Linked DNA regions of Cricetulus griseus. The protein of the gene in region 2 interacts with the protein of the main gene of each other region in a pairwise test. Links are inferred from orthologs where the notes say so. Each region holds a gene or a part of one and is shown on either strand. Other genes may lie near its edges.

Evidence for each region. The genes of interacting proteins can lie anywhere in the genome.
Region 1: the proteins of keratin, type I cytoskeletal 40 (region 2) and Wt1 interact in binary tests that used the Homo sapiens proteins (3 or more experiments, as listed by UniProt). The two-hybrid records come from large-scale screens. The link is inferred for Cricetulus griseus from reciprocal best matches to the Homo sapiens genes KRT40 and WT1.
Region 3: the proteins of keratin, type I cytoskeletal 40 (region 2) and Hdac4 interact in binary tests that used the Homo sapiens proteins (3 or more experiments, as listed by UniProt). The two-hybrid records come from large-scale screens. The link is inferred for Cricetulus griseus from reciprocal best matches to the Homo sapiens genes KRT40 and HDAC4.
Region 4: the proteins of keratin, type I cytoskeletal 40 (region 2) and Fars2 interact in binary tests that used the Homo sapiens proteins (3 or more experiments, as listed by UniProt). The two-hybrid records come from large-scale screens. The link is inferred for Cricetulus griseus from reciprocal best matches to the Homo sapiens genes KRT40 and FARS2.
Region 5: the proteins of keratin, type I cytoskeletal 40 (region 2) and bystin interact in binary tests that used the Homo sapiens proteins (3 or more experiments, as listed by UniProt). The two-hybrid records come from large-scale screens. The link is inferred for Cricetulus griseus from reciprocal best matches to the Homo sapiens genes KRT40 and BYSL.

The regions. Positions count from the first base shown.
Region 1 is NC_048599.1:72,536,291-72,540,300, forward strand, and holds part of Wt1 (Wilms tumor protein), read right to left. Parts: intron 2,430-4,010; coding exon of another isoform or gene 2,420-2,429; intron 748-2,419; coding exon 625-747; intron 225-624; coding exon 122-224; intron 1-121. UniProt on the Homo sapiens protein: Transcription factor that plays an important role in cellular development and cell survival. Recognizes and binds to the DNA sequence 5'-GCG(T/G)GGGCG-3'. Regulates the expression of numerous target genes, including EPO.
Region 2 is NC_048600.1:113,048,726-113,053,369, forward strand, and holds the start of keratin, type I cytoskeletal 40, read left to right. Parts: upstream 1-1,589; coding exon 1,590-2,036; intron 2,037-3,304; coding exon 3,305-3,387; intron 3,388-3,687; coding exon 3,688-3,844; intron 3,845-4,644. UniProt on the Homo sapiens protein: May play a role in late hair differentiation.
Region 3 is NC_048595.1:443,482,031-443,486,040, forward strand, and holds part of Hdac4 (histone deacetylase 4), read right to left. Parts: intron 3,949-4,010; coding exon 3,832-3,948; intron 3,742-3,831; coding exon 3,543-3,741; intron 1,356-3,542; coding exon 1,117-1,355; intron 1-1,116. UniProt on the Homo sapiens protein: Responsible for the deacetylation of lysine residues on the N-terminal part of the core histones (H2A, H2B, H3 and H4).
Region 4 is NC_048596.1:255,922,920-255,926,929, reverse strand, and holds part of Fars2 (phenylalanine--tRNA ligase, mitochondrial), read right to left. Parts: intron 784-4,010; 5' UTR 766-783; coding exon 151-765; intron 1-150. UniProt on the Homo sapiens protein: Is responsible for the charging of tRNA(Phe) with phenylalanine in mitochondrial translation.
Region 5 is NW_023276806.1:255,587,318-255,591,327, reverse strand, and holds the end of bystin, read right to left. Parts: intron 3,932-4,010; exon of another isoform or gene 3,830-3,931; intron 3,561-3,829; coding exon 3,422-3,560; intron 3,156-3,421; coding exon 3,022-3,155; intron 1,796-3,021; coding exon 1,635-1,795; intron 1,507-1,634; coding exon 1,404-1,506; intron 912-1,403; coding exon 566-911; 3' UTR 239-565; downstream 1-238. UniProt on the Homo sapiens protein: Required for processing of 20S pre-rRNA precursor and biogenesis of 40S ribosomal subunits. May be required for trophinin-dependent regulation of cell adhesion during implantation of human embryos.

The sequences.
Region 1 (4,010 bases), on a different chromosome or scaffold from region 2:
TCTTTGCCTCCAAGACCTTCCTGGTGTCAGACATGGCCAGGGTCTGGCTTCCCTCTCTGGCCCGCTCACCTGCACCTCCAGGGTCACCATAATACAGTCGTGGTGCTCCGCACCTTCTTACCTGCTGTAGGGCGTCCTCAGCAGCAGGGCCTGGCTGCCGGTGCAGCTGTCCGAAGGGGTGTGGCAGCCATACACCGGGGGCGGCACCGAATATTGCTGCTCGCCTGCCAGAGAGCCAAGGGTGGTAGTGAGCGGGACTCAAGAGTGTGAGGCACAGGCAGGGGTTCTGGTGCGAGGGAGAGCGTGCTGAGCTTCGGACAGTATGGCCAGCCATGTGACAAAAAGGCCGCTCTCAATCCAAGGGAACGAAAACTTCCTCACTTCAGGTTGCATTGCCATCACTCTCTGGCATTGGTTGCCTTGTCTGAGTGGCGCTTTTTTGTAACTTACTTAGAATGGACAGAGCTGTGATCTTTCAAACAGAGGAAAGCCAGCTATTATTTCTAGATCCCTTTAGATGTACTCTATCCCCTTTCCCAATTTGGTAAGGCTTAGATCCGCGCAGGAAGCGGTGCAATACGTGGAGGCAGTGGGTAAAGACCCGCATCTTTTCCATCCACTTACCCAGAGAGCCCTGCTGGCTCATGGGGTCCTCGTGTTTGAAGGAGTGGTTGGGAAACTGCGCTGCATGGTGCGAGGGCGTGTGGCCGTAGCTGGGTGCCCCTTCGAAAGTGACCGTGCTGTATCCTGAGGAACCGACAGAAAGAAGCACAGAGTCAGTTAGGCTCGGGGAAAAAGCAGGAGCATTGGCGCGACTAGAACTCGGGTGATAATCGGGTACCTGACTTTGGACCCTCCGACTAGAACCTCATTCAGGCTTAAAGCAGGCATGACCTCATCCATACTTTTTCCCAACTAAAATCCCAAGCTCCTTCTGTTCCCCAATTCTTCTATGTTTCAGTCTTCCATTGCTGAATAGAGCCTCCCCAAGTTAGGTGTAAAAACCGTCGCCCGCCTGGCGGAGACTGTCTTTCTTAAAAACAAACAACACCGAGGTTCTCGCGCAAGGGCGGCTCGGCCCAGAGGACTGAGTTTCCTCCGCTGACCCCGCTTTGACTCAGGGCTGTAAATCAGGGGCCGTGCACCAACTTCCATTAATTACTGGGGCCAGTTCAGCGGTCTGCGCTTTAAAAGCAGAGAGAACTACCAGGGCACATTACCTCTCTGGGCTGCACAGCCTGACACCAAGACACCGAAAGCCTTTAGGAAGGTTTGTGTGGCTGGAAAAGGAGGACCCTCGCAGCTGGGTCGAGTCCTTCTTCCCCTCCCACGCCTACCCGGGGCTCAGAGGGCCCAATTTTGACCACTGCTGTAATGACTAACCTTTCAGTGTGCGGGACACTGACCTTAACTGTCCCTGGGTAGCAGTGTCTCAGTTCCTTGCCTCAGTTTCCCTTCTGAGAAACAGAAACTGGTGCTCTTTCCTATCACCCAAATGGATGAAAAGCAATGTCGAGTCTTGGAAATCTCATTCTTGAATTGATATTGTTATTAAATTTCTATAAATACATATCCCACCTGCTTTGCCAAAGCTCAAGTTGGTGCAAGAGATGGCATCCTAAGAATCCTCCTAGGGACTTTATGAGGGTGGGGCCTCCTCTTCCTGTGGTGAAGTTAGGAAGAGGGAACCCAGACTGGCAGGATAGAATGCAAATGAGGCTGGACCCTGAGAATGGCCCCTTCAGGGCAATCACTAGAGCCCCAATGGCTTCCTACTGCGCAGCCTCTAAAGCCAAAAAAAAACAAAAACAAAACAAAAACCTCTAGAAATTAAGGTAAAACAAAGTCCCCACTCTTGCACCAGTTGATCAAGGTTCTTCAATAAGGGATGGCCGAGATCATTCATTCTGTATAGAGACAGGAGGCCAGTTATCTCCAACGTCAAAATTATAGAGGGCGACACCCACTGCCCAAACTATCCGGGTCACTCCGGAGCAGTAAATGTACACGGCCAGATTGACGTGTTTCACAGTGAAGGGATAGGAATTACCGAGTTATGTCCCTCGAAGACAAGTGCCCCGGGAGCTCTGGTTAGTGAATGGGGGAATCAGTCAGCTTTTCAACCTGAGTGAGCCCAGAGTGCCTCATTTTTCTTCCTGTGAAGTGGAGAAAGATAATCTCCAACCCTAATAGCTCTTGGGTGTGGATCAATAAGCACATCTGGCCTTCCAGGGACTTCCTTTTCAGAGAAAAGCCCTGGTCCTACTTGAGGCCTACAGCTTACAAACGAAATTTGGATCTAGGCACCCACCCGAGTTTTCCCATCAGAAATGAGGAGTTTGTGAAAGAGCACTTAAACAAAAAAGGGGGGACGCGGGGGAGGAAGTAGAGGCAATAAAGAAAGTTTCTCTAAACGAACCCTTCTCCATTTCTGAGCCGAGCAGCCAAAGACCTAAGGCACGCACAGTCTGAGACCCGCTGCTCAACCGCAGGTGGCAAGAGCTGCTGGTGCCAGGCTGCAGCTCCCACGCTGGGGACCTCCACTCGGCGCTCTGGAACTCCGGCTTGAGGATGCGGGAGTCCGACAAGGCTCCCTACCCACCTAGTCGGTGGTGAGACGACGACCTCGGCAGGCAACCTCGAGCCCCTCCCTTGGGGCTCCTGGGAGGGGCAACAGTGAAAGCCGCGGGATCCGAGGGAGAGCTCTTTTAATTAGAAGCTTATCAGAATCAGTGCTGATTAGGAACCCGCTGTACCGGGACTGAGCTGAGCCCATCTCGAAGAGGGTGGGAGTGAGAGTCGGGGGAGAGACTGCTGACTCTGCGAAGTATCAAAAGTGTTCAAAAGCTTCTTGTCCAGGCCTTGCAGGGAGAGACCCTCGAGGCCAAGGTAGCCACTTTCCCACGATTGGTCTGGACCAGGGAGGGGACAGCAACCTTGACCTTGCAGGAAGGAGCACAGCGCCCTGAGCACTCCTCCCCTGCCTCCACTGTGGAGGAGCCCGGAACAGGCTGCCCCAGCCTGGTCCTGTGGAGCTGATGAGGAGATCCTACAACAGCTAAGCCTGGGAGGTGTTCCGGAAAACCTTGCTGCCATGAGATAGGTGGAGTCCTCACTCCCACCCAACTACTGTCTTTGATGTAACCCGAGGGGGGCGCCTTTGGCCCCATCACAGCTGGTCTTCCTCTCGTGACTAGCTTCGGAAGGGCTGATCCCCGGGCTCTAAGCTCACGCTGATGTGAGCACTAGCTACTAGCTAGTGCTGGGAATGGGTGTGGGGTGTCAGAAGCCGACTGTCAAGGCCACATTGGGGCCAGACTAGGAAAATCCTCACCCTCACTTCTGGGTCCTGACAAACTTTCCAACCATCTCACACTCACAAGTTGTCAGGGCCTATTCAACCGCGCAGAGAAAATCCACCTCAATCACACAGTCAAAATTTCTGGGGGGGGGGGGTGGAACAGAAGAAAAATATGGGTTCAAGTCCTAGCTCTGCCAAAACCTAAGAGGCCTCTTGAAGTCTAATCCCCTAGTGCCTAGACTTCAGTCCCTAGTATTAAGAGGCTCACTCCTTCTATCTCGGGCTATGTGCTTCTTGTAAAGGTTCCTATAGCCATTAACTGTCTTAATAGAGAATCTACACCCCCTCCCCACCAAGTAATGTTTTGGTGTTTGCTAAATTTATGTTTAGACAATTAGGGTGGCAGCTATATAAGAAATATATATAAGAAATATATATATATATATATATATATATATATATATATATATATGAAGGGATGAGTGAGTGTCATAGTTAGGCTCCCTGGTTTGTATACAGGTAACTAGAGCCAGCTTGAATTCTTCACAGTGGAATCAGAGTAAAGCATGATGGTGGCCATTCTCACACTTTCCAGGGACAGCTGGCATCTCCCAATCAAAACCCCAAACTAAATCCTGAATTATTGAACTGACCTACAGGAACTCCAGAAGTAAAAGGAATGGATATTCAAAGGATTTGGGAGCTCAAG
Region 2 (4,644 bases):
CATCATATATTCCCTAACTTCCAATACTTTTAATTTTCAGGCAATTGAGACGTTCCTAAATAAACAAGAGGGAACAGACCCCCATATAACAGGCGATTAGATTTTTGTGGCTTCCTTGACTCTCCCTAAGTATAATCAATAAGGTTTCCCAAACCTTCACCACAACTTATATCTCCACTGTCCTTGCAAATATAGGTACTGGGGTTGAAGTTTGAGGTATATCATATATGTAGTATGAACAATATGAAAGGTTCAGGCATTATGCTGGCCTGCCCCTGTTACCTGGTGGAATCCACTCAGGCAATACCCTGGTCAGCCCAAGGTTCCATGGGAAAGAAGTCTGCACGCAGGTGCAGAGGACCCCTTTAAAAGATAGGCCCCTGCACCTTTCTCTCTCTCTCTCTCTGCCCCTTTACGCTCGCGCGCTCTCTCTCTCTCCCCCTGTTCCTGCTCTCTGTCCCCTCTCTCTGTTTCCCCGCTGTCTCTCTATGGCGACCGGCCATGGCGGTCAGCCATTACCCTGTCCCTCTTAGTCTCCCCATTCCATTCTACCGGGCCTTATAATAAACTTATAGTCTTAAGTCAATATGTCTGTCTCAATATTTCTCTTTTCTTCTTTTTAAACAAAAGAATAACACAATACCTTATGTCTGAGCCTCAACACCAAAATAAATGAATGATAACAGCTTTTTAAAAGTAGCATAAGGAATCTAACATGGAAATACGAGAAGGCAAAGCTTATGTGTATGACCATCCACTCTGAGCATATCCAATCTCAAAAACTAAGCAGGGGTGGTCATGATCACTGTTTGGCTAGCGATAGAATGTTTGAGATAACCAAAGACCACAATTCAGATCTTGACAACCACTTTCTGTCTTGGCTCACAGGACACAACTTATTCTCATTGTTGTATAAAATGATCTCACGTGCTTTACACTCAGTATATACACCTTTCTCTTTACCATGTAAGCACAGGCTTCAAGGACACACACACACACACACACACACACACACACACACCACACGCACGCACGCACGCACGCACGCACACACGCAGGCATGCATGCCCTTCACGATTGCTAACTATCATTGTGGTGGCTGGTAGCACAAACAAATACATGCAATTTAATGAGCTGTGGTGTCCACTTTTAAAGTAGACAAGAGCAATCGATTTTCAAAATCAAAACCTATGGAAATATTACTTTCTGTATCTCTAATGAGCTCTACCTATGATTACCAATGGCTCAGATTTTCTCTTGGGTTCCTTATTCTTTCAACGGGATAATGTTTCCTATGGCTATTCGCTAAAATAAGGATTTTATCCAAGCAACACGTGGAAATGACAGTCGTCCTGATTTAGTAACCTGAACTTATCCTCCTTTTACGAGGCATAAAACTTCCTCGGTAAATAAGCAACACTAATGAGATGTTTGTAGGAAAACTAGCACCCGCGGTGCTAGAGGAAACATCGGTGTGGCCTGTAAACACCCATTTGAAGGGTGATATAAAGGTCTCAGGGGGGGAAGGAGATGTTTGGAGACAAGACCTCGGCACTACAGCATCCGGTCTGTTCATTCCTTCACAGAAGATGGCTTCTGATGGCTCCCCTGGGTGCTGCTCCTCTGAGCCCTGTGCAGAGGCTCCGGACTGTGCGGCTGCCTCACCCTGTCCCACCGATACAACTTGCCTGCCCAGTACCTGTGCCACATCCAGATGTCAGACCCCGAGCTTCCTCTGCAGGGCTCACCTCTCAGCCGGTCGCCTCTCACCCTGCTACTTCGCTGGCGGTTGTAACAGTCCGTGCCTGGTGGGGAGCTGTGCATGGTGCGAGGAAGGGGCGTTCAACAGCAATGAGAAGGAGACGATGCAGTTCCTGAATGACAGACTGGCCAGCTACCTGGAAAGGGTGAGAAGCCTGGAGGAGAACAATGCGGAGCTCGAATGCAGGATCCGAGAGCAATGCGAGCCCGATGCCCCATTGGTGTGCCCAGATTATCAGCGTTACTTCGACACCATTGAAGAACTCCAGCAAAAGGTTGTGTGTCTCATTCCCTAATGTTCTCTGTTTCCTGTTTCAGAATTCTCTTATATTTACAGTGGCGCGGGTTGTTTTATGGATGTAAAACCAGGGAGGAGGGATTCCCAGAGCTGGTATGCTGCCAGGAAAAGAGGGCCATAGATGGCAAGAAATCTGTCTCAGTATCAGCACTATTGACCATAGAAATGTCATGTCTGTGTGTAGACTATGTCATCTACAGAGAGGGGGAATCTGAATTATGATATCTAAAATCTGTTCTGCATGTATCATTACTTATTTATATTCCTTATCAAACAGACATCAAATGCCATCTCTTTTAGTTCACCTGGTAATCATTTTCCTTTCGTGTGCATGTAGAGAGGGAATACATGCTGTCAATGAGGCCTGAGGTCAATGGCAAGCGTCTTCCACTCCCCGCCTTGTGTTTTGAGACAGAGTCTCTCAAGGGACCTGGGGCTCACTGATTTGACTCACTGGGTGGCTGGCCAGAGAGTCCCAGGGATACTGCTGTCTCTGTCTCCCCTTGCAGGGGTAACAGGCACACACTGCTATACTTAGCTTTCTATACATGAGTTCTACGGTTTGAACCTGGGTCCTCCTACTTGTATTGCAAATGCTCTACTGACAAAGCCTTCTTTCTTTTTTCATTGATGAATTTCTATGACCACAGACAGAGATGCAACTCTAATAAATATTAGCAGTGGAGAAAACTAACAAAGCTCAGCTGTCAATGATGACTGCCAAATGTCCTGCCTTGTGTCACTTATAAAGGAAACCTTGAGATGCAGAAATGACTCAGCAGTGGATAGCAGCACTGTAGCGCTCATGAGCAACCTGAGTTCAGTTCCCAATACCCATATATGGCAGTTCACAACCACCTATAAGTTCATCTCCCGAGGACCTGACACTCTCTTCTGGCATCCTAAGGCAAAGAACAAGTCTACACACACACACACACAGAGTCAGAGAGAGAGAGAGAGAGAGAGAGAGAGAGAGAGAGAGAGAGAGAGAGAGATCAAATACATACACACTCTCACACACAATTGGAAAAAAGATAAAATCTTTTTTTAGAAAGAGAACCTATTTTTATGTCTGTATTTTGTTTCTAAATTGGCACTGCATGTCTCCTTTTTTCTCCATGGTATAGTTATAGGCTGAAAATTATGTTATGCTAATTTTGTTAAGCTAATGAATGGCAGACTGTTAAAACAGAAATGTGGGTTTCTTCCAAAGAGCTGTTGATTACATAATGACTTGCCTCTTAGATACTGTGCACGAAGGCAGAGAATTCTAGACTTGCCGTACAGGTGGACAACTGCAAACTGGCTGCTGATGATTTTAGGTCAAAGTAAGTCAAATTGTATTTATTTTTTAAACCACATTGTATTTTATGTATACAAATTGCATTCTAAATCTTAAATTTAATTTGAAAATAATAATGGCCTCCAGTGATAGAGAATTCTCTGCATGAGATCTTTTTTTTTTAATTTAGAATGTTTGAAACTTGAATTCACCATCATTTGGGATACCCGGGGAATTGTGACATGTGTCTCCCTGGAGGCCACATGTCACTCATCCTTGTACCCCGGCACTTTGGTCAGTGTTTAGCCAAGTAACACACTCCCTTTTCTTTCTCTTGCTGTGAAAGGTATGAGAGTGAACTGTCTCTTCGCCAGCTGGTGGAGAATGACATCGGTGGCCTTCGTGGGATCCTGGGTGAACTGACCCTGTGCAAGTCAGATCTGGAGGCCCACGTGGAGTCCCTGAAAAGTGATCTCCTTTGCCTTAAGAAAAGCCACGAAGAGGTAAGTGAAGTGGCCACTGTGCCAAGGACTATAGGGAGAGTTCTACCGAGAGATTTCATGGGTATAAACTGAACCAGGGCAGACACTGACTAAGCTGGAACAAAACCAGAGGCAGGCCCACTGTGTGGTTTGAGCATCCCAGTGTCTCTCAAGGTAGATGTGACATACAGTGTGTATTGTTGCATAACATCACCCGCCCCAAGTGCCAGGGTGAGGCCACTCTCCCTCCTGCCATTGCTTGGGTGAAGAATTAACTCCACTAATGGCTATTTCTGTAGCTCTACTGTACAACAAGAAAATAGAGCTGTATCCACTTCCAAAAAAGGAATAAATAGTCATGCAATATTAGGAGTAATATTTTTTAGATATTGTACATTTATAATCTTGTTTCTATTATAAGCTTAAGAATGAAATGCAGAGTTACATAATAAAGTAAAACAAAAATGTATTCTTTGCATATTTTGATGGTAGTAACAGCTGACAATTACAGATACCTTAGCATTTCTCAAGAATTTTATAAATTTATTGTCTAACTCTTCCCTGTTTCACAATAACCCTCTGGAAAAGAGAACAGTATTATAGCCATTTTGAAAATGAAGAAACTGAGACACTTGAAACTAAGAAAAAGAGGGAGATAGAGAAATGGCCCAGCAGTTAAGAGTGCTTGGTGCTCTTCCAGAGGACCCAAGATCAGTACCCAGCAACCATTTCAGGGAGCTCACAGCTGCCCATAATTCCAATTCCATGTAGTAACACACATACATATAATTTTTTTTAATTCTTTCTTAAACAGAAGTAAT
Region 3 (4,010 bases), on a different chromosome or scaffold from region 2:
AATGCTGTACCCACTGTAGCTCTTGACAACCACTAACTTAATTCATGCCTCTTAGGCAGCAGTTTTCATCCTGTGGGTGGTGACCCCTTTGGGAGCTGAGTAACCTTTTCACAGGGGCTGCATATCAGACATTTGCATTACGATTCACAACAGCAGCAAAATTACAGTTATGGAGTAGCATGAAATAATGTTATGGTTTGGGGGTTCACCACAACACGAGGAACTGTATTACAGGGTCACAGCATTAGGTCTAAGGCTTTGCCTATACCTGTGAGTGAAACACAGTGGGGTCCATTCGTGACTGGTTTACTTTCCCAACTGCCAGGTTTTCGGGTCTATACCTGCTGCAGGACCCCATGATAAGAGGGGTGTGTTCTGTCATCAGTCACCACAGGATGTCACCTGGGGATGTTCCATCCATCATCTGGCTGCTATGAGCAGTACAGATGAGGTGTGTGGAGAGGCGTCTGCAAGACATTTCCATTCTTCTTGGAGGCCAGCTGCAATGCACTCATCTGAGTTCATACTGAAGCCACCCAACTGACACATTTGATGGGAACATATTAAGTCCCTCCATTTCTCTACTTGACAGGACCACTGTACTAACTTTTCCCACAGCCTCCACCTGTAGATGGAGCTGAGAGGCTCTGGACAGTCTGCGAGTGTGCAGACCTTTACAGGATGCCTGGTCTCAAGCTGCCTCAGATGGTGTAACTCCCACATTTAAGTGATTGCAGGTGCCAGGTGACTTGAAAAATATGCTTCAGGGACTAGGTGCCATTGTAAAGTTGTAGGCCTCAGGTTAAGGTCTGCTTAAAGATCTACTTGGCAAATGGCTTTAGAAAATCCCTCTGTGGATTGCCCCACACAACACTGCAGAGGCTTCTTGCACAGCTGTACTCACAGACAGACGGGCTATAAGGAAGGCTGTGGACACATCTGCACAGCAGCTCCACACAGCAGCACAGCTTCCTGGGCTTTGGACCACGCACCTGAACATGTGCTTTGTGTTCTCCCTGCCTTGCTTTGGCCACTCAAGGTCAGCAGAGGGGCAAGGCATATGGCATCTGGCTCTAGGTAAGCAGTCCCAGAGGGAAGGCAGCTGGGCAGACCCACCTTGCTGAGGTGCAGCTGCTGCTGCTGGAACTGTTGCTTGTGCTTCTCCAGGAACTGCTGGTGCTGCTGCTGGATCACCAGGTGCTGCAGGGCCTGTGCGTTCTGCGGCAGGGGCGCTGACTGTGTGCGCCCCAGGGGGCGGTGCTGCCGCAACTTGTGAATGGATGGGGACACCCTGTCCGCACCAACCAGGGACTGTGTGTGGAGGGGCAGCGCCCCCAGGCCTGAAAGATACCAGTCTGAAGATAATATGGAGGAAAAAAAAACAGCAGAGGGGAAGAGGAAGAAGAGAGGGAGAGACGCTGTTGAGTAACCAGTGGAGAAAACCACATGCCTGCCAGCCCAGGTGCCTTCTATGAAACATGACTTTCTGCAAACAGGTCCAATTCCAGCTACAGGGTGTTAGCTTGGAGCCTGGGCTTCAGGGTGGGCAGAGTGTAATTGAAAGCAAGGCCACCTGAAGATCCCATCGATGCAGGCTCTCCAGGAACTCTGACAGAGGAGCGCTCCAGAAGTGTGGCAACAGCCTAGCATCAGCCTACCACACCTCTCACAGGTGTTCCAGAGGATGGCTGCTCTAGCTCTCCCACACACCCAATTGCCAGAGAGAATGCAGAGACAAACTGACAGTGAGACCCTGTCTCCATCAGACACCCAGGCACTGTCAAGACCTTGAGCTTCAACAAATCCCACCACTTTGTATCAGACACAGAGTGGTATCGGGAAAGGAGGGGAGGGTGGCACAGGGAAGGAAGCAAATCTTCTCCAGGGGCAGGAGAGTGGGGCTTCACAGAGAGCAGGCAAATTCAGTGAGAGCACAGCATGCAGACGGTGGAGAGCAGAGGCAGCAGCTGCAGGACAGTGGGCAGACGTGAGCTCAAAGCAGTGGGAAGGGCCTAGAGAAGAATGTTTGCTTCCACATACTTTCCCTGGTCAGTCGGCCCAGGAGGAGGACTGTGGTGAAGGCTGGCATCTGTGCTAAGAGCTGACTGACCCCTTTGCCAGTGGGCACTGTCCTGAGATGAGCAGCTCATAAGTAGTGGGATGCTGTACTATGACTTTGGCTTGAATGCTCATAGGCTTGGGCACTACACACAGTATCATTTATCATTGCTCTAGACAATAGGGAACTTGGGCCTCTAAGGACAGCTATGGCTGAGCATAAGAAACCCTGTTCAGGTTCCTCTCCTCAGAGAACAGAAGAAACCCAATGAGATGCAGCATCAGGACCACATGACATGGAGGAGGTGGGGCACTAGGAAGAATGGGTGGAATTATTGGGGGAAGAGTGTGGAGGTCTGACATCCCAGCACTTAGGAGACTGAGGAAGAGAATCAGAGTTTGAGGCTAGCCTGGGCAACATCCTAGCACTTAGGAGACTGAGGCAAGAGAATCAGAGTTTGAGGCTAGTCTGGGCAACAAAGTAAGATTTAGTATCAAAACAGTAACAAAGGACCAAATAAGTAAACAGACAAAAACCAAAACCACCAAATCCAACACAAGAGGAACAGCCTCAACCAGGAGACTAACACCGACCAGGTTGCTGGGTGTCAGATGCTGCATATGGGAACTGAAGTGTCATCACTCTGTGCTAGCATCTCACTCACAGGTGGGAAGATGAAGCCCACAGCGAGCAGTTTCCCAGAGAACAGACAGGAAGGGGCCTGAACATAATGAACAACTCATGGTTGTTCACTGGGACACTGTTCTCCAGAGCTGCGGCAGGGGTGTCCATTATTTCTCAGACGATACCAGTGGCCAGAAATGCTATTTCTGTCCAGATCAGTGGTTTGGGAGAGCCAAGTGCACATTGGAGATGAAAAAGCACAAGGCAGAACACAATACCAAGTGCTACAGATTGACTCATACCAGCAGGTGGAGGTACTCCAAAACACCAGTCAGAGGCTGGCCCAGGGGAACATGGGAACATGTACAAGCCAGTCCTAAAATTGCTCTGGCCATGATTCTGAGTGAAGCAATAGCTGTGAGGAAGTCACCCACAGACCTAAGGATGACATACAGCTGGGCAAGGCCACTAATAGGTAGGGCTCTGTGTCACTTCTTAAACAGTCTCTTTATAGCACATTCACTAGGTAAACTGCACGAGTTTCCTATCTTTCTCTAACTTGTATTTTTCTAAATGTAATCATCCTCAAGCAATCAGGGGTCTGTCCAGTCAATTCTGAATTCCATGCACTGGCTTCCTTGAGCTGCAGGGAAACCTGTCTGAGGAAGAGCAGGAGGCTAAACAGAGGGCACTGGCATTGACTTCTACCTCTTGGCCAGCTTTCTAAGGAGGACACAGATCCTTGTCAGAGCTGAGGTAGGTATCACATAACAGGGACCCAGAGTGACTACTGTTGTGTGGGCTACAAGAGGCCAATGAGACTGACCTAACTGCCCAGAGACCTGGCGATGTTTCTTACCTGTGACAAGGGGTGTCTGGGTGGGGGCCTGCTCCAGCAGGACCATATGCTGCAGGAGGGGGTTGTGAGCTGCTCCACCATCCCGCTCCAAGGGTGAGGTGCTCAGGTATGGGGTGAGGTGGGTGCCAGGGAACAAGGAGATCCGCTGCTGGAGGGCTGGGAGAGCAAGCCTCTCAGTATCCTGCTGGCCCGCCGCACCCTGAAAGGTACAACCAGGATATTCTTCAGGCTGTGGGGATGGAGGCAGACAACCACCCCATGTCATCCAGACCCACGGAGACCAACTTACAGCGGCAGGGCCGGTGGCAGGAAGCCCCAAGGTGATGTTGGGTAAGGATGGAGATGTGTAGAGAGGGAGTGGGGCGACTGAGCCTTCTCGAGTCACAAGTCTGTGTGCCAAGCTTGTCTGTAAACAGAAGACTTCGTGACTATCAGAGTCTGCCACAGATGTTTCGTCACAAGTGGCAC
Region 4 (4,010 bases), on a different chromosome or scaffold from region 2:
ATGCCAGCGTACAGGAAAGACGTCACAAAAAACAGATGTGTCTGTAAAGGAAATGAAGACGGAGGACAACTCTCCGAGTTTCAGTGGCCAGCAGTCTTCAGGGACATCAATACAAATGTCTTCAACAAGGAGACACAGCTAAAGACTCACCTCATGCTTGGAGAAGAGCCGGACACCCTCCAGCTGGTGGAAAACTGGGTAGTGCTGGGAATCAATCTGGTCACGACGATACACATCACCCACCACGAGGAAGGCATTAAGTCCTGCATGCAGCAAGTCCCACTGGTGTGCTGATGTGTGTGCTCTCAGCATGTGCACCCGATTCAAGTAATAGTTGTCCCCCTTCTTCCTGCTGGGGTGGTCCGCTGGGATTAGCAGGCTATCAAAGTTCTGCCATGTAGTGACCACTGGCGGAAGCTGGTCATAGACGGAGAACAGAGGGGTCCTGGGTCGGCCCATGTACTGCCGGTAGAAGTGCTCCTTCACCCGCTCCTTGATCAGCCACAGAGGGTGGTACTTCTGGTTGTGCAGGTTCCTGCCCACCTTGGAAAGGACCTTCGGGGTGAGGTTGGTGTGGTCATCCTGAGGGTAGGATTTTCCCAGCAGCTCCACCACACTGCCTGGAGCACCTTGGGCAGCAAATTGTGATGCAGCTGGCCTTGAGCCCCAGGCCTGATGCTGATGGCATCTGAAGACATGGCTGATGTTCCTTACTAGGAAGGTGTGTTCATGGGCAGCTCTGATGAAGGCTGAACAGACCATCATGGAAACTTCTCACAAATTCTGGAAAGAATGCACAGAAATTGCACAAGTAAAGTTTCATTCTGTGGACAACAACGAATGTATTCTTGTGTTCTCTCAACAGGCTCACTACTTTCCTAGTGACATTCTGTCCCTGACATCACATGTCCCTGACATCACATGTCCCTGACATCACGGCCACACCACAGGAAGACAACTGAGAAAATCTATTCATAGGCCATTATAATTTGAATATTCTCCCCAGAATTCCTGTTGAAATTTCACTGCCATCTAATAGGATTAAAAGGTGCAAAGCACAAGGGCCCTACCTCTAGAACATGAGTGGGTTAATTAGTGTGGGAATGGGCTCCTCATACAAGGGTAAGCTCAAACTTTGTTCTCTCTCTTTTGCCACAAGATGATCAAACTAGAAGGGCCTGGCTTCATGGTAGTGCCTTGATCTTTAACACCAAACTCCAGAGCTGTGAGAAACAAGTTTCCTTTTATTATACATTGTTCAATCTGTGGTATTCTCTTATACCAAGAAAAAAAATGACTCTAGCTTGTTGGTGCACACCTTTAATCCTGCAACTAAGAGACAAAGGCAGGTGGATTTCTATAAGTTTGAGGCTATCCTGGTCTAGCATAGCAAGTCCCAGGCAGGTCAAGGTTACATAGTAAGACCCTGTCTCAAAATTTTAACTAATTAATAAATAAACAAACAAAACATGCTACGACAAAGCCTTAGTGTTTACTGCACTAAATCAGAATACTGAAGGTGCTTATAGGTCACTAATTTCTAGGTGTCCATCTTCTGTCATTTAAATTCTTTGCTCTATAGAGAAAAAGGCCTTCACATGCCACCTTGTTCAAATCTCATGAAGAAGAAAGCATTCTAAGCAACAACTACCTTTATTTTTACTACACTGTAACTTACAACCAAAAGAATCAGCAGAATGATCACCTGAAAGTTATCAGAGTCCATAGAGTTGGACTCACTCATTAAAGAGACTATATGTTCATATTAAGACTAAGACCTCTGATGGGCAACAAGAGAAGATTACAGAAAATACCCACACTTCACCTTTCTGCTCTCTACCCTTATAACTACAAAGCCCTCTTTTCCTTTTACAGAGAGTACCTACTGCCCTCTGGAATAATTCACAGAATAATAAAAAAAGCCATTAACTATACCTTTGAAAAAACATTTTGAATAGGACCTTGGGAGATGGCTCAGTTGATAAAGTACATGTAAGAGAGCCCACGTTTGGATCCCCTGTGCCCATGTAAAAAAAGATGGACACGACAGCAAGCATCTGGAAAACCATCATTGGGTCAGGGGCTCATGAGCCAGTCAGCCTAGCTAAACTGATGAGTTCCAAGTACACCGAAAGACTCTGTCTATAAAAATAAGGTGGGGAGTATGAGAGGTCCTGTCTCAAAACCAAGGTGGGAAATATCTGAGAAAATCATCCAATGTTGACCACTGGCTTCTACATGTACCTAAATGCACACAACCACATGAACACATATACACAGCACATACACAAACATCAGATCTTCTGAATAAAGTTATTACTTTAAATGGTAGAGAGTTACATTCAGTGATTCAAAAAAAAAAACTTAATGAAACAATACTAAGTAACAGACTATGCCAAGAGTGGGAAGAAATTATATTTGTGAATGTAAGTCTTCTTGCTCTTATTGGTCATGACATTTAATCTAAAACCCTTTGCATCATTCCATCAGTGACTATCCCTCCTCATAAAAGACAGTTTCTATTGTAATATGTGCACACAATAAGCCTAAAATAGAACAGAATTTACTGGAAAGGGGACACAAAGTTGACAGAAGATAGAGACTGACTCGGGGAGCAGCAAGAGAAAGAAAAATATATAACATTTTGTAAGATTATAGAATTTCCCAACTAATAGCCATCTCAGCAATCATGTGGGATAGATCATTGACTTCTCAGGTAAAATATGAATACCCAGGAATAGATGCCCAAACTCTATGCCTATTAGTGGAAAGACTATGATCTACTAACATTGTTTATGCTTTACATCTGGTGTAATTTAAAAAGCGGCACTCAAGAGAAAGATGCCATGTGATAGGCAGAGAGGGAGGAGACAGAGAGACAGGCAGAGAAGTAGAGAAGTAGAGAGAGAGATACAGAGAGAAAGAGAGACAGAGAGGGAGAGAAAGATAGGAGGTGGGCAGGGCCTTTTTAAAAGGGAATGTAGTGAATGTGCACAGGTTGTGCTCCTAGTGGCTGCTGCTAAGGATATATTCTGTCAGAACGCCAAGAGCAAGCCAGTACAGATGCCTGAATACTAACAACATCAAAAAAGGAGTTTTGAACTCCCTCAGGGACCATATTAACCAGGGTAACTAGAGATGAAAGTTGAAAATTTAGAAATAATTTAAGTTCTTAAACTTAAGTCACTCATTTTTTTTGAACATTCATTATGAGATAATTTAAAATATACAACTTGGTTACTTTCCTTCAATTCCACCAAAAATACATAACTCCATGGTCCATCAAAAGCCTATCTCACAGCACAACTGCCAGAGTCAAAATTCCAAGAGGGAAGAACTTCCTAGAAGCCTGTCCCTTAAACTATCATGATAGAGAAGCTTTCAGAGATTCCCAGGAATGCTCTGGAGTTATGCACATGGCATTGCTTTGTCAGAGTTATTTCTAGTGTTTTGGGCTGAGCTTCAACTGAAATCTGTCTTGCCGTCTACGTTGTTCAGTAACTTGTCCCTGCAGTAGATATGAATTTCAAATTTGCACATGCAGCCTTACACATCCCAGCACAAACCCACACTGTTAAGCTGCTAGTTACTCAGCTCAGTAGTCTTGGCAAGATATAAGAAAACATTTCTTTCTTCCACAAGCACATACTGTTATACAAAGTTTAGGACTGGTTGAAAGGGTACCTTTATACGGTTATTTATGGTTGCCAACTGTGTTTTATTTCATCAGCGTCTCATCTCACACACAAAAAGTCTTTCCAGGTTCCCATAGATGAACTTTATCCTAACATCCTGTAATGATCTTCTCACATGTCAAGCTTGTCCGTGAAAGTGTAATTTTTTTCATCCTCTTTTTGTAACTTTTGGTCCATCTGCTCAGCTCTAGTTTATGTCCATACTCTCATTTTCGATACCCAAACAATAATTCATTCTTTCTATTATCATCTCCTTTCAAGCAGGTCAAATGACTGGGATTGCTTTTTGGCTTTTATGAATTGAAAGCTTACCTC
Region 5 (4,010 bases), on a different chromosome or scaffold from region 2:
GCCCATGAACATGTCTTTGGTAGGGAGTGTGTGTATTGCCTGCATGCGTGCAATACACACACTCTCTTTGTGGAGAGGAAGGGGAGTCTAGATAGACCGTTGTGAGGAACAGGGTGAGGGTTCTATGGACACTAAGAAGCCACTCCTCTGAACTGGGAACAGAAAGAACCATGAATGACTCTCACCTCTAGCCACAGGGGAGGCAGGAACCTCCAGGGACTGAACCAAAACACAGAGCTTCAATAAATAACCAACTCTGTTTTATCCACACCCCAGTGAACTGACACAGTAACTGGAGAGAGCAGCCCTAATACCAAGTACCGGCTGGGTTGAGGGAGTGCTGACATCAGGTAACTCCAGTTAGCTTCCAGAAGTGAACAGGGACCAAAGCCTAGAATGGCAGAGAAAGCCAACCAGATCAATCCTCCTGCCCAGGACTAGAGCCACACACAGATGCTGTCGTAAGCCTTCGGTGCCTTAACCTAGGTCTTTAACTAGATCGTTGGTCACCAACTGGGCTCCTGGTGTCCTCCTATCCTCCCTGGACCAAGACAGGTGAGCGCTGTCATTCCATGGTGACAGGAACATCTTCTACATCTCTGGGGACTGCACTCTGGAGCTCACGTCTGATTTCCGGAGACAACTGTGGGTGGGGCTGCAGTCGAAGCAGTTCCAGGAGGGCCTCCTTCTGGTCCGTGGCCAAGTCGGCCTTGTAGCGTTGTGCCAATGTCAGGAGGCACTGGTGCCAGAGCACAGGCAGCTGGCGCTTCTCCGTCCGGAAGCCCAGAAAATGGAAGACCAGGGCGTCTAGCACCCGGTATGGCAACGCATACTTCTTATCTAACAGCAGGCGCAGGAAAATGCTGTTAGCGCCACTGTATTCCATCTCGGCAATCTTCAGCATGGCCGCACTAGGAGGGAAGCTGGAGTTAAGGACTAGTGGAGAGATTCTGGACAAAGTGTCTCCCCAGACTCACCCTAACCTAGAGCATTCCCAAGGTGTCCCCGCATCTCCTCATTAGTACACTCCTGGGATTGATTCTCTTTACCGCCTGTCTACATCCATCTCACACTTCTGCCTCTGGCCGGGATAGCAAACAATCCCTGCATTCAACTCGATAGGGTGTGTCTAAATGTCTCACCACTCCACCATTTTTCACACCTTTTTCTAGGTATCCATTCATTCATGCCGTCATTCAACAACTATTTACTGAACACCTACTGTGTGCCAGGTCTTTGGATCCTGCCCTCGAAGGCTTCTATTCTACTGGAGGAAATCATATACCTGCTGGTTTAAATAGCCACAGACTCTAGGTAATCATAGCTCATTCTCCCTTCTTGCCCTCCTGCCAAAGTTCTGGCCTCTCTACTACATGACTCTCCACCGACCTCACCAACACTACCTGGAGTGCAACACAGGGATGGAGCACTTGGTGATGATGCTGCCCACGATGATGGCTTCTCGGAGGGTACATGTGCCAGACTCGCACAATGGGATCAGGATTCCTAGGCAGAGTCATATACAGGGACTTTTAGTACCCAGCAACCCCATCATCTAAGGACCAACAGTGGAGATAGCCAGTTGCCAAGCAGAGTACTGACCCTTCCTTTCTCTCCTAATTCTGGGTTTTTACCTTTGAACCAGGCTCCAGGTTTGAAGAGGGCTTTCTTGAGTGCCATGTAGAGGTGAAAGTTGAGTCGTTTGTACTCTGCGATGTCATCTCGTACTCGGGGAAGCAGGACAAGGTTGTAGAAGCGCTGAGCCATCCGTTCTCTCAGATTAGAGGCAAAAATCCTAGCAAGGTGGGAGTTTGCAAGTCACAAGAGTCTGGCCCTGGCCTTTTAAGTATCACCATGCATGAGAGAGGTTTTAGAGTAAGATATGGGGACATCACTTCAGAGAGGGGTATGTGAAGTGGTATGTGAAAGGTTCAGGCATTATGCTGGCCTGCCTCTGTCACCTGGCAGAATCCACTCAGGCAGTACCCTGGTAAGCCCAGGGTTCCATGGGAACTAAGTCTGCACGCAGGTGGTATAGAGGAACCCTTTAAAAGACAGACCCTGCCCACTTACACTCTCTTCTCTTCTCTTCTGCTCTCTCTGCCTCTCTATGGCAACCGGTCATGGCGGTCAGCCATTAACCCCGTTCCTCTTCTTTCTTAGTCTCTACTCTACCGGGCTTATAATAAACTGGGTAATACATCTTAGTCTCATGTCTCATCTTGTGCCTCTTCTTCATTTCTAATTTAAACAAAAGAATAACAGTATGCACACCACACCCAGGTCAGCTTAAAGAGGAGCTACTTTGCCTGCAAGTAGGTCTGTGCACCATATATGTTCCTGGTACCCATCGGATTTCCTAGAGCTAGAGATGGTTGAAAGCCTCCACGTGGGTGCTGGGAATTGAACCCAGGTCTTCTAGAAGAACAAGTGCTCTTAACCACTGAGCCACCTCTCCAGACCTAGCATTTTTCTTTTGTTGGTTTTTCGAGATAGGGTTTCTCTGTGTGTAGTCCTGACTCTACTGGAACTCACTGTGCAGAGCAGGCTGGCCTAGAACTCACAGAAATCCACCTGCCTCTGCCTCCTGAGTACTGGGATTCAAAGTGTGCACCACCATTGCCTGGCCCCTAGTGTATTTCAGACAGTGCTGTTGCTTAGCCCCATGGCCTTTTGTGCATTATTTAAGCGAGGCACCTCGAGCTTCTTTCCCAGTCCAGTTTTTGGCTGGCTACTCTCCTTTCTCCACCATGAGGGACCTGAGGTCACCGGAGAATTCTCAGAATTCTCGAGCTACTCTTCTCTCACACCAGGGCTGTATCCTGGAAGCTATGTAGGCCCTTCCCATGGAAGTCTACCACAGGACTTTGTCCTGAAAACACAGGAGGAGAAGTTAAGGGAGTAGTAGGAACAAGTCCAAGGGAGAGAGCCATGGGCTGGCCAATGACATGGCTGAGGGAGGCAGAGTCTACTCACCACACCCTGCACCACAGATCAGCCGCCCTAGACCATCTACACTACCTGGTGGCTTGATACATAGCAGCTGCAGTCCAGGCCTCAGGCTCAGTGACATAGAGGATTTGCTCCCAGTTGGACAGTGCAGGGATGATCTTAAAAGCCTTGGGCAGTTTCCCACTTCGGTACTTGGATAACACCTGGAGATGGAGGAGGCAGAGCCATCAGCACCCACGGTTGAGGTCCTGGCCCCGTCCCTGCGTTTTCATGCGCGGCCTCACTTATCTTCAGAGCAACCCAAAAAGGCTCATTTCTCAGGTGACCAGAATTTAGTGACTAGACCCTGAGCCCACTGGTTCTGCCTCAGTCCTTTTCTGTCCTGGCCACCATGGCTCACTCGTCGGGTGCCATGTGTGAGAGGCTTCCTGTTAGGATACCCCACCACACATGCCCTCACAGTCCTTACCTCCCGGACTCCTCTGTAGACCTCCAGGACCCGGGGGTCCAGTTGAGGCATAGGGAAGCCCGACACCTCTGACATGACCGTCTCCACCTCTGTCTGCTTCTCTGTCAGCTTCTCCATGATGATGTCAGCCAGTGTGCGCCTATGGAGACAGAGGGGACAAGGGTGAAGAACTAGGGTCACTCTCCAGGAAGCTCTAAAGTCCCCTCACCCTGTTCATGAAAGGAAGGAAGGACAGACAGAAGACAGCCAGCCAGCCATAGTGGCACGAGCCTTTAAGGCCAACACTTGGGCAGATCTCTGTGAGGTTAAGGCCAGTGTGGTGGTCTTCATAGGGAATTCCAGGTCAGCCAGGACTCCGTAGTAAGACACTGTCTCAGAGGAAAAAAGGAGCCACAAAACAGTCCCCAAACAAATCAGGAATGCTGCACAAACTAGCATGTCACCCTTGCACAGGGGTCACTCTAGTCTGTGATATTGTTCCAGTTTTAGCATAAATGCTGCTATAAGCAACCAACTTACAACTCCTCTGGATGACGACAAACTTCACAAATTACTGCAGACAGTGAAGAACCTGAATGTCACCGCATTG